Linked DNA regions of Diceros bicornis minor. The protein of the gene in region 1 purifies or fractionates together with the protein of each later gene. This does not show direct contact. Links are inferred from orthologs where the notes say so. Each region holds a gene or a part of one and is shown in the gene's direction. Other genes may lie near its edges.

The links.
Region 2: the proteins of SLC39A11 (region 1) and FAM174A purify together in Homo sapiens (co-immunoprecipitation; 3 studies listed by BioGRID and IntAct, counting the BioPlex papers as one, with this or other methods). This does not show direct contact. The link is inferred for Diceros bicornis minor from reciprocal best matches to the Homo sapiens genes SLC39A11 and FAM174A.
Region 3: the proteins of SLC39A11 (region 1) and GALNT16 purify together in Homo sapiens (co-immunoprecipitation; 3 studies listed by BioGRID and IntAct, counting the BioPlex papers as one, with this or other methods). This does not show direct contact. The link is inferred for Diceros bicornis minor from reciprocal best matches to the Homo sapiens genes SLC39A11 and GALNT16.

The regions. Positions count from the first base shown.
Region 1 is NC_080757.1:53,906,274-53,910,020, reverse strand, and holds the start of SLC39A11 (zinc transporter ZIP11), read left to right. Parts: upstream 1-1,404; 5' UTR 1,405-1,466; intron 1,467-3,747. UniProt on the Homo sapiens protein: Zinc importer that regulates cytosolic zinc concentrations either via zinc influx from the extracellular compartment or efflux from intracellular organelles such as Golgi apparatus. May transport copper ions as well.
Region 2 is NC_080740.1:25,273,722-25,277,468, forward strand, and holds the start of FAM174A (membrane protein FAM174A), read left to right. Parts: upstream 1-1,163; 5' UTR 1,164-1,345; coding exon 1,346-1,785; intron 1,786-3,747.
Region 3 is NC_080763.1:17,780,158-17,783,904, forward strand, and holds the start of GALNT16 (polypeptide N-acetylgalactosaminyltransferase 16), read left to right. Parts: upstream 1-1,389; 5' UTR 1,390-1,543; intron 1,544-1,932; 5' UTR 1,933-2,045; coding exon 2,046-2,222; intron 2,223-3,747. UniProt on the Homo sapiens protein: Catalyzes the initial reaction in O-linked oligosaccharide biosynthesis, the transfer of an N-acetyl-D-galactosamine residue to a serine or threonine residue on the protein receptor.

The DNA.
Region 1 (3,747 bases):
CCCAAGCCTTCTGGAGCTACTCAGACAGCAGCTAGCAACCAGCACTGCTGACGGTAGGAACGGAGCTGCCAGTGCCCTGGTTTGCCCTTATGCCTTATGTTACCAGGAGGGAGGATCCAGCCAGATGGTTTCCTCTGGTGATTCTAACAGAAACCACCCAGTCGTTTTTTTTTTTTTATTTTAACAATGCTGTTAGAAAGCCTCCAGTATCATTCAGCATGGCACTCTAATGAAGAGGGGAAAGGCCTTCCTTGTGCTCTGCGGGTTAAATAATAAAGAGCAGCTGTAAGTGGAGGGACAGGCGGCGTGAGCTATGGCAGCGGGGCTGCTCGTCTTCATTAGTGTCATCTGCAGAAAGCTTCATCTTAGACGTGGGGTGGGCCCTGAGGTCGCCCAGCTGGTCTCTCCAGGAGACTGCAGAGATCAGCTTGGCCTTGTTTTCGAGAGTTTAATGAACTCCGTGGCAGGCAGAAGCGCCCTGATGTCTCCCTTCCGTTCTTGTTGCCCGAAGAGTGTCTCTTCTTTGTCTGAGATGGTGGTTCTCAAGTGGGGGCTGTTCTGCCCCTCAGGAGACATTGGCAATGTTGGGAGACATTATCGGTTGTCACAACTGGGAGAGGGGGCCCCTGGCATCTAGTGGGTAGAGGGATGCTGCTAAGCATTCTACCATTCACAACAAAGAATGATCCAGCACAAAATGTCAATAGTGCTGTGCTTGAGAAATGCTGGCCTAATAAACAAAGCAACCACTGAATCCAAGATGTTGTTTTGGACCGTTGCATTCTCTTTCTTGAAATCTGGAGGAAAGAATGAAGAGAGGAAATAAAACGACTCTTTAGGCAGTATCCACTGCAGTCCTCCTGCAGTGTGATGCTGTCATTGCTAATAAAAAGCTGTAAGACACTTGGCACTTTTGGATGGTTTCTCCTGATATTGAAACAAAAAAAGAAATAGCACATGCACAGACTCACAGACTGCTTAAGGGATAAATTTTATTCAAAAACCCCGTGTTCCTCACATTTGATGTCTATAGGAATATCATGGGGATCTGGTTAAAATGGAGATTCTGATTCATCATGTCAGGGTGTGGCCTGAATTTTGCATCTCTGCCAGGCTCACCACTTGGGAGCTCCTAGGCGGTGTCCGTGTTGCAAGCGCATAGTCACACATTGAGAAGCAAGGCACTAACCTGACCTTTGGTATTCCTAAGCCTGTGGGGGGCCTGGGATTGTGGCTCCCACCCGTCATTTACATTTGGATAACAGGAGAGGCCTTTGCAAAGCTCTGTGCATGAAGAGTCAGCTTTCCTTCACACGTGTGATGTGATGTGGCGTGACTGACTCATCCTGGTTTGCCCAGAACTGTTGCAATGTAAACCAAAAGTCTTGCATCCAAGAAATCTTTCAGTCCTTTGAAAACAGGACGGTTGGTCACCCGGTGAGCCCCCCTATATCCCCAGGGGAAAGGTAAGGTTGGACCTTTCGAATTTCCTTTAATGAGGAAGGCTCTGAAAAGGAAAGGGGACTCAAGGAAAGCTTTTTATTTAGTTATGTCAGTTTCTCTCCTTTTCTGGGAATAGAAGCGGGTATGATGTCAGGAAACTCCACTGCCTAACATCGGGGCACATTTTGTGTCACCAGGAGGATTGTGTTTCTCCTCTTTTACCTGTAAATTGTGCTGTTCACCAAAATGTCCCTCAACCTTCCGTCTTTCCTTCCTCGTATCCCTGCTACCCACTGCTTCCAGACTCTTCCCCATCTCCTCCTTTGAGCAGGCCACACCCCTACTCTAAAACTTTCAGCATTTCCTGACAAGTTCTCAAGGATTTTGCCCTCAAGGGAATAACTTTGGAGTGGGTAGAAAAAAAGTGCAAGATGTCCCCAAACTCTTAAGTAGCTCGTATTCTCAATGGGTGACAAATATATATGACTCATCTTTTTGAAAGGTCAAGATTTTATATTACTAAGGTCTGCCATGCTAGACGGAGTGCAGGGTCTGTGTTGATGTGGATTTGCAGGTGAATTAGGGCAGACTCAGTAAGGATACCATCTAAACCCTCCCTTCTGTGGCTTAGCCAACTTCAGGGTAGTTGGCCAAATACCCCTGGTTAATTTCTGCCTCTGGGCCTTTGCTTAAACTAGTCTCCCCATCAAGACTGCCTTTTCCTTTCCTCTCTGCCTACCTACATCCTTTACTGTTCTATAAGGATCTCGCCGTCACCATCCCCTTCACTCTTCCAGCCCTTCATGATCTCTCTTCTAGGACTTCCAGCATTTAATCGATGTGGTACTGGTTTCCAACTGAGTAGTAACCACAGTCTGGCCCGATAAGGGTTCAAAGACAGGGCAGCCTCTTCAAGAGAAGAGAATGAATAAGCATTCACGGTCGGGGAGACCATCTTAGGATGAGCCCACCAGCCTCCTGGACCAGCAGCTGCACTGACTTCTTTGATTAATTTCGCACTTAGGGCTTTTTGTGAGATCACGTTCTAGAAGTCTTGCCTGGGAGTGTGCACTGTAAAAATTGAGTCTTAAAAAAATGTAGGTCACCGCTCATTTATTTGACAAATACTTATTAAATGTCTTCTCTGTTTACTGGAGGGAGGGCACACATTCATTATAATTCCCTTTAGGGGTGAAAAACCTAATTGGTATACATGTTAGAACAGCAATGGACAAGGGGTGGGAGCTACTGACATAGTTAACTGTTTTGCGTGGATATATTTACATTGTTGTTTTCCTGGTTTCTGGAAGCCAAGGACCGTGTGTTTCATTTATTCTCTACCTCCTGCAGCCGTGACTCCCAGCTTAGGGTTCCTGAGCTTGAAGGACCGCCTAGTATCGTGTTTATCAATTATTAATGTTTCCAAAGGCCAAATGAGGCAAATTAAAATCCAATTTCTTTGCTTTTGGCTGGAATGACAGCCTCTTAGTTCTGTAGCCCTGATATCTCATGTTGATCTGAAGCTCTGATTGGTGGTTACATTAGTGTGTCTTGGATGAATAAAAAATGGGGAAAAGAATTAATTCTTGCTTAACATTGACCAAAAACTATTTTTGGGGGGGTGTGGGGTTAGAGAAATAATAATAGGGTGATTTATAGTTAGCACAGAGATGGTTACACACTAGATAATCAATGCTTGTTAAAATGAACACAAAGTAGATTTTGGTATTAAAATGGACTACAGCATGCTTCCCCACTATGGCTATAGAAAGTTCTGGAAGAACTCAGCATAGCCCTCTCAACTCCAGAAGCAGGCACCTCAGGAGACAACATTCTAAAGTCCAAATGCCATGTGGTCCTGTGATAGCAGCTGGATATGTGTCAGGGGCCCTGCATGAAGCCCCACTTTTTGTACTTTTCTGGGGATGGAGGGAGGAGAAAAGGAGTCTTAGACTTGAACACTTTGCCCTGAAATTGTGGTTTCCTGGGAGTATCCAGGGAGCATTTGAAATGGCCAGAGGAATGGGGTCTCTGGTGGGTAGTGGGAGCCCACACGTCTATGGGAGCCTCAGGGCTCAGATGTTCTGTCTGAGCCAAGGCCCCGTCAACCATCTGTCTGTGAAACTAGAAGGCAAGAGAGTGAACGGCAGTGTGACAGGCTTGCCTGGCGGTGACAGGCAGTCCCCAGGGGCTCCGAGAGGAGCACGTGCATGGGGGAGGGAGGGAGGGACTTCCTTGGGCCTTTGGGTCTCATCACGTGGAGACTACCTCATTCTGCAGCTGGCCTGTTGAGGAGCTAATGAG
Region 2 (3,747 bases), on another chromosome or scaffold:
AAGCAGCTAAAAGGCACTATCCCATCCACCCTACCTACAATAGTCCTTTACATAATTTTTGCTGTAGATCCTGTACTTGTCATTTGTAACACACTTCAGAATTCAGAACGAGTACAATTGTTTATTTATCATCTCCATTTGAACCTAAGTGGTATGAGAACAAGGATCACATCTTATTTGTCTACTATTCAATACTCATAATTTAGCACTGGGCTAAGCAAGGAGTAGAAACTCTAGACAATTTGTTGAATAAGTTTTTTTAAAAGAACAAATATTAACTTCGGTTTCTGATCAGGTGGGTTTTTTGTCTGTTTGTTTGTTAGTATCTGCTCAAACCAAAGTTCCATGCTACTGATGTCAAAGTTAAACAGGCAAGGAACACTTTAATATTTAAGAATATCACAATAGAGGAGAGAGGCCAGAACCGTGTCGGAACTCAACTCCCCAGAAAGAAACAAAGAGCCGGAGAAATTTTAAGAGCTAGGGTAGGGAGCATCATAGGCCACCTATGTTTACTAACTGAACTTACCCAAAGGAAAACTTAACTTTTTCTCGTAGCTTCGTGACAAGAGGTAGTTTTACAGTTTGGAACACGGCGCCTGCCTAAGTTAGGCTCCTACACTTCCACAGAGAATGAGATAGGGGTGCTATCTTCTTTGTGGATTATATTTCAAAAGGATGGCTCCAGGTCCTTAAGAAAGACGGTCCTGGGTTGTAAAACTGGCAAGAGCTTTTAAAAAGATTTATATCTCAAAAGGGCAGAGAATGAACTTACAATTACAAGGTTTCTAAAGTAAATGCTCTGAGGAAAGGGAGGTCAGGGACCTACATAGAGGCAGGAAGAGACCTGTCTAAAATTTGTACCCTAGCTGAGGGAAATGCCAAGCCTGTCTTCATCAATGATTAGCTGTGTTTCTGCAGTTTTGTACCAAGGAACTGAAATTATGAGCTTCCAACCCCTCACGGTTCCCTCAGGCAAAGAGTTGCTGCACACTTTACACAATCCCTTATTTACATTCTTACTCGTGACCCATCCGCAAACCTCTCCGCACTCCTTCCGGCAGGGCGCGTGCGCAGACGGTCGTGCGCGCCTGACGTCACTGAACGCGCCTGCCTCTACATGTTAGCAACCCAGGGCGTCCGTAGTAGCAGTGGCTGCTGAGATGTACGAACTTCCGGTTCTCGCAGCAGCTTTCGCCGCTGCCGCCTCTGCCACCTGCCGCGGCCGAGCCTCACCGCACGATTTGGTCATCTCTTCCTCGTTCTCCACTGCGCCCATGATCCCTCCTGGAGCCAGGGCGGCGGGCCCGGCGGCTCCCGTGTGGTGAGAGGGCGGTCGGGGACGATGGAGGCCCCGCACTGCAGCTGCTGCCTCAGCCGCCTCCTGGCCTCCGCCCTCCTGCTGCTGCTACTACTGCCAGGGTTCAGAGGGCCCTTGGCGGTGCTGCTGCAGGCGGCCGAGGCAGCGCCGAACACCAGGCCTCCGGACCGTGGGTCGCGGACCCTGCAGCCTCTGCCGCCCGGCCCCACCGCCGCCCACTCGCCGGGCCGCGCTCCGGCCGAAGCCGCGGGGCCGAAAGGCGCTGAGGGCGGCAATGGCAGCAGCCCCGGGGCGGGGCTTGCGGCGAACGATCAAGGAGGGAAGGCGGGGGAAGAAGGCTCAGTGGGTGGCGGCCTCGCTGTGAGCCCCAACCCCGGCGATAAGCCCATGACCCAGCGGGCCCTGACCGTTTTGATGGTGGTGAGCGGCGCGGTGCTGGTGTACTTCGTCGTCAGGACGGTCAGGTGAGGCGAAGCCTCGATCAGCCTCCCCCGCAGGCCTGAGATGGGCTGCCTGGTGACTTAGCAAGGCAGATTTTTTGACCCGGCATAGTTGCCCCATCCCTGCCTCCAGTATCAGAGGTGTCTGCCTGAGTGAGACTGCAAAGATGACCGTCTTAAAAGTCTGTGGTACCTCTGGGAGAGATTTGGGAAAGTTTTTTCTTACTAGCAGTTTCTTAGTATTGGCCTTGATTCTGCCACCTAAGTAATTAGGTTGTGCCATAAGAAGTTTCCTACATTCCACCGTTTTTGACCTCGAAAAGTGACAGTTTTGTATAGTTCAATCTATGACAGACTCCCCGTTAATCAGAAACATTTAGCATTCATTTTGCATGGCACAAAGTGTTTCAATGCAAAGTGGTATCAGTTGCATGATAAAATGGAAAACTGATACCTATGCAGCAAAGGAAAAAAAGTCATAAATATGATCCAGTTTTAATATTGGAGCAAATGTTTAATAGCCTAACAAAACTATATCTAACTTTAAATTTACAAAAATTTGAAGTAATACATGGATAAATTTGATATTTCACATACAAAAAAACTTTCTAAAATGAGTTCATCTGTAAATAATAATTCTAACATTCAGAAGTTTAAATTTACAGAATAGGTTTTTGAGTCTGTTCTTACTACAGAATACTAGATCATGGAGTTATTTAAATTTCAGATTTGGAACAGTTATGATGACTTAAATGACACTTTTCACTTTACATCTAAGGAAATTGACTCAGAAAGGTAAAGTGATTTATCTGGTGTCCCATGGGGTCTAATGATAATGTATGATTGTACAATCCACTGTTTACTTTGAATTTTTTTTCCCGGTTAACAAGATATCTGTGTCCTGATCTCTGATCAACCTTTTGATGAAGTAAACTGGGTCATTATGTTGTAAGTACCAGGTTATGAATAAAGCAGATGGTTGCCACTTATTTTTCCATTCCCCTTAATGTCTTATCAAGTAGAAAAGGAATTACATAATCCACTTAGTGATATTTGTTGTGGTTATCAGTAATCTCCATTTGATACATTCCTTTGTTACTGAAGTAAACTTTTTTTATGACATCAATCATGATATTAAAATATTCCAACCATGTAATCAGATTGATTTGGAAAAATCTATAATAAAGCCTCTTTAAGCTAGTTAATTGGGGACCACTTCTCTGAAGAGCTGACATACAGAGCCAAGATGTCGCTTTTAGAAGGAGCTAGCCAAAAGAAGAGCTGAGGGACCGCTGTCTAGGTAGTTTCCTCCTCTGTAAAATAGAGTAGAGGGTAGATTTGCATGAATGCACTGGTTTGTTGTTTTCCAAACTATTTCACATTTTTTTCCCATAACTACCTACCCTCTATTGTTTCATATATTTCTTTAAATGTATTATTTAAGCTAAAAAATTCCTTTTAAACAAATCTGTTTATTATTTTGTGAATGGAAAATAACATCCCTTGCTTACATAGCTGATTGAAAAAGTACAGCGTAAGCCACTGGTTCTAGACATGTGGTCCAGGGAACCCTGGGAGTGTGGAAGGTTCTCTGAGACCTCTTCAAGAGATCTGCAAGATCAAAACTGTTTTCAGAATAATACATTCTCTTACAAGCTTATTGGGTACAAGAAGTTCATTGATAAAGTTTTGAATTCTATATTGCAACTAACTTTTAAGAGACTACCTCTTGTTGAGTTTTGGTGTCGTATCAAAAAGGAATAAACACTAGTATCTGAAAGGGCTATTAAAATGCTCCTTATTTTTCCAGGTTCATGTCTGTATGAACCTGGATTGTCTTCATATCCTTCAACCAAACAACACATTGCAAATGGTTGAATGCAGAACCAAATATGGAAATCTTGCTTCTGTTTCTTTCTATTTTCCATCTAGTTCTATCTGTTTAAGCCAGACATTAAAAGGATTTGAAAAAAATCTAACTCAATG
Region 3 (3,747 bases), on another chromosome or scaffold:
TGGGAGGAAGAGGGTATTGCAATTGCCATGATGGCCTTTCTGCAGCAAAAAGCAAAAAGGAGGGGCCGGCCCCATGGCATAGTGGTTAAAGTTCCAGGTGCTCTGCTTTGGCGGCCCAGGTTCACAGGTTTGTGGGTTTAGAGGGTTCGGATCCTGGGCACAGACCTATGCTGCCCTTCAAGCCATGCTGTGGCAGCGACCCACATACAAAATAGAGGAAGACTGGCACAGATGTTAGCTCAGGGCTAATCTTCCTCAAAAAGGAAAAAAAAAACCCTTAAAGTTTTCTTTCTTCATTTCACTTCCCTCCAATAGAAATGTACTGAGCATCAATTATATGTGTGGTTGGGTCCTGAGTGCTGGAGAAACGGGGGAAATGAGTGGTGCTGATGGGGGTTGGGTGAAGGCATGAGCTATGACTCATCATTTGCCAGATACCTGAGGCACCTTCTTTTACAGGCTGGGACCGTATGTGGGCCTTCATTTGAGCCAGTGTCCAGCAGCACCAGCAGGCAGCAAACTCCCTGCCAACTCTGGCAGGTCCCTGGGATTCAAGGGCCTCCTGAGTCCAGACTCACCCAGCCTGGCCAACCTCAACTGCCACCAAGTCCTTCCCAGCATCCTGGGCCCCAGCAATACAGGCAGCTCTCTTCCTTGAACATCAAGTACATATTTCCATCCTCTGGACCTTCGCTCTGGCTATTCATGCAGCCGATACTCTGCCCTGCCCTTCCCTGCCTCTTAAGAATTTATTCGAAGGATTTATCCACCCTCTGTGAGAAACCTTCCCTAAGAGCACCTTGCAATACGTTATTTCTTCCTCTGCCATCCCTGCTTGGTTTATTTAACATCTATTCGTTGAGGGTTTGCTCTGTGCCTGACCCTGTGCTGGTCTCCTAGAACTAATTTAGCCCACCTTGCCTTCTGCTGGGAGTGAGAGTGGTTCACACCAGATTCTCAACGCCTCCAGGGCTGGGGCAGAATCTCAACGATTTCTGTGTCCGTGTCTCTCACCACCGTGTTTTGCACTTTGTCGAAAGTGTCGGATGGAGAGAGGGCTTCTAGACTGGGCTCTGCCCACTAATTAGTCGTGTGGCCTTGGGCGAATCTTCCAGCCTCTCTGGCCTCCCTTCTTCCCGATGAAATGGTTATGATGATACCTCAGGGTTGTCCAGGGGCCAATGAGGCGGGGTACAGGGAAGCATCATGAAAGCTGGGAGCCCCAGGCCAATGGAAGATGTGGGGTGGTTGTGCCCCCTTTCTCCTTTCACTGGCTGTGAAGCAGCGTCGCTCCCCCTTCACTCTCTTCGAATGTCAAATGCACCAGCTTCCAATCCCTCCTCGGGGCGGGCCCTCGGGCGGCTCGGAATCCTAGGCTGCGGAGGATTCCGGTGCAAACTCAAGACTCTGCTCCCACCCAGCCGTCCCTTCCCAAGGACTCGCCGAACACACCTTAAACCCGGCGCCAGAGCGCAGTTCAGAGTGCAGCCCAGAACTGCAGCTCCGCGGCGCTGGCCCTGGCCGGGTCGCGCATCTCCAGCCGGTGACTCAGGGCCGCTCGGTCAGGGGGTGGGTGGAGGTAGGCGGGACCGACCAGGGCCACGCGGGGGCAGCCGCCGGGCGCTCGGTCGCCGAGCGGTGGGAGCGGAGACTCGCTCTGGCCCGTCGCCATTCCGCCGCGGGCGTCTGCCTCGCCGGGCCTTCCTCCGGCGCGGCTTTGCACCCGCCGCGCTCCTCTCCGGGTGCGCAGCGGCCCGGGCTGCCGGCGGGGGCTGGAGCGCCGGGCGGGCTCTGCGCGCGAATGAATGGGCGCCCGGGGGATGCGCGCGCTCGGGGCTGAAGGGCATTAGGACCGTGAGGATCGCTCCACGCTCCTGTCTCTCCCTATCACCCCCCCCAACCCCCCACCTCTCTCCTTTTTCTGCTCTGCAGGACTGAGCAGCCAGGCGCGAGCGAAAACAAACAGCTGGGGCTGCAAGCGCCCCCGCCCCGGCCCGGAGAGCACGCCGGTCCGGGCCCCCACTCGGGGCGCCCGCCCGCCCACCATGAGGAAGATCCGCGCCAATGCCATCGCCATCCTGACTGTAGCCTGGATCCTGGGCACTTTCTACTACTTATGGCAGGACAACCGAGCCCACGCAGCATCCTCCGGCGGCCGGGGCGCACAGAGGGCCGGCGGGAGGCCGGAGCAGCTCCGCGAGGACCGCACCATCCCGCTCATTGTGAGTACGCCCTGCGCGCCGGGCGGCCGGCCCGGGAGCCGCGGCGCGCATCGTAGCCCCACGCGGCTGCAGAGGGCGCGGGGCCCGGCCGGGGCTGCGTGCCCGCGGCGCCCTGCTGGCTTTGTATATGTTGGAGCATTCCTGCCCGTTGTTATGGCAACCTCCGTCGGGCTAGCGAGGCCGGGGCGCATGGATGGAGGGAGGGTGACAGCGGGTGGGGGCTGGGAGAAAGTGCTGCAAGTTTGGTGGGCCCGGCGTGCGCGCGCGACTGGGAACGTGGCGGCTCTCTCGGCACTGCGCCGCCGGCCAGGGGGCCGGGGACTGCCCGCGCCTCGCCCGCCCCGGAAGGCGGCTGGACCTTGCGCGCAGCAAGCAGGCAATGGGAACCGCGCGCTGCTGAGCGTGTAGGTGGCCGTGCGCACCCCCACTCCAGCCTCTTGGGGGCAAAGGACGTGGGGTAGGGGCTCCGGGTAAGGCAGGGTCGCTAGAGGCTGGGCCCAGCTTTGCGTCCACTTCTCAGCCAGGGTCAACTTGAACCTGCTTCTTTGGCACGGAGGACTCCCCACTAACACCTCCCGGGGTTCTCTGGGTCGGGGAAAGGTTTCGTCCTGTACGCGCCCCTCACCACAACGCTAGGGTCCATCATGACGAGTGAGTGGACAGTGTCTTTTCTCGGACTCAGAGATTCCCTCTCACGAGGTCAGCCCCGCGACGTCAACGCGAGAGAGGAAACAAAGGCGGCGGAGCCCGGCGGGGCCCTCGGCGGAGCTGCGGGGGCCTTAGGCGCTCCGGGGACCCGGGCTGGGGTGTGCGGAGCCCCCGCCGCCCTGCAGGGGGCGTTCCTGTCGCAGCCTCCGCCCGGCCCCCGGGTGACATCTTCGTGTGGTAGGGGCACCTGTTGAGGCAGGAGGCTCCGGGAGCCGCCGAGAGGCGCGCTTCGGCGGGCCACGTTCCTGCGACCGGGGTGGGCACCGGGCGAGAGCCCTGGGCGACCCTCGGGACGAACTGCTGAGCGGGGGCAGCCCGGCCGGACGAGGACCAGGAGGAGGGAGAGCAAAGTGTGGGGCCGGGGATGGGGGCGTGCAGCAGGGTGGCCATTCTGAAGTGAAAAGATCTGGGCCTGGGGAGGGAGGAGTGAGGAGCTCCTGGGGAGGTGCGGGGTCAGGAGGGCGAACGAAGGCCTGAGTGCGGTAGAATCAGATGGTTTTTGCGCCAAGGTGGCTGAGCCCCAGGAATATGGTGGGGAGGGGGCGGCGTCGGTGTGAAAGTGCTCTCATATTCCCATCCTGCCCCAGATTCCGTGTCTTGTCACCCACCCAGGAAGAAGTGAAAATCCCCTGCCAAGCGACCACATTTCCCACCTCTGCCTGAGGAGACCTTGGGGTTTGTGGGTTTTCCTACAGCCCCCTCCCCCAATTCCCAGATCCCCCTCTGATTGAAATCTCTGGGGGTGAGCCTGATCAGGTGGGGTGTTCCTTTCTGGGCTGAGGGTCCCTGTCACTAAGACACTGTTTCCAAAGCACTT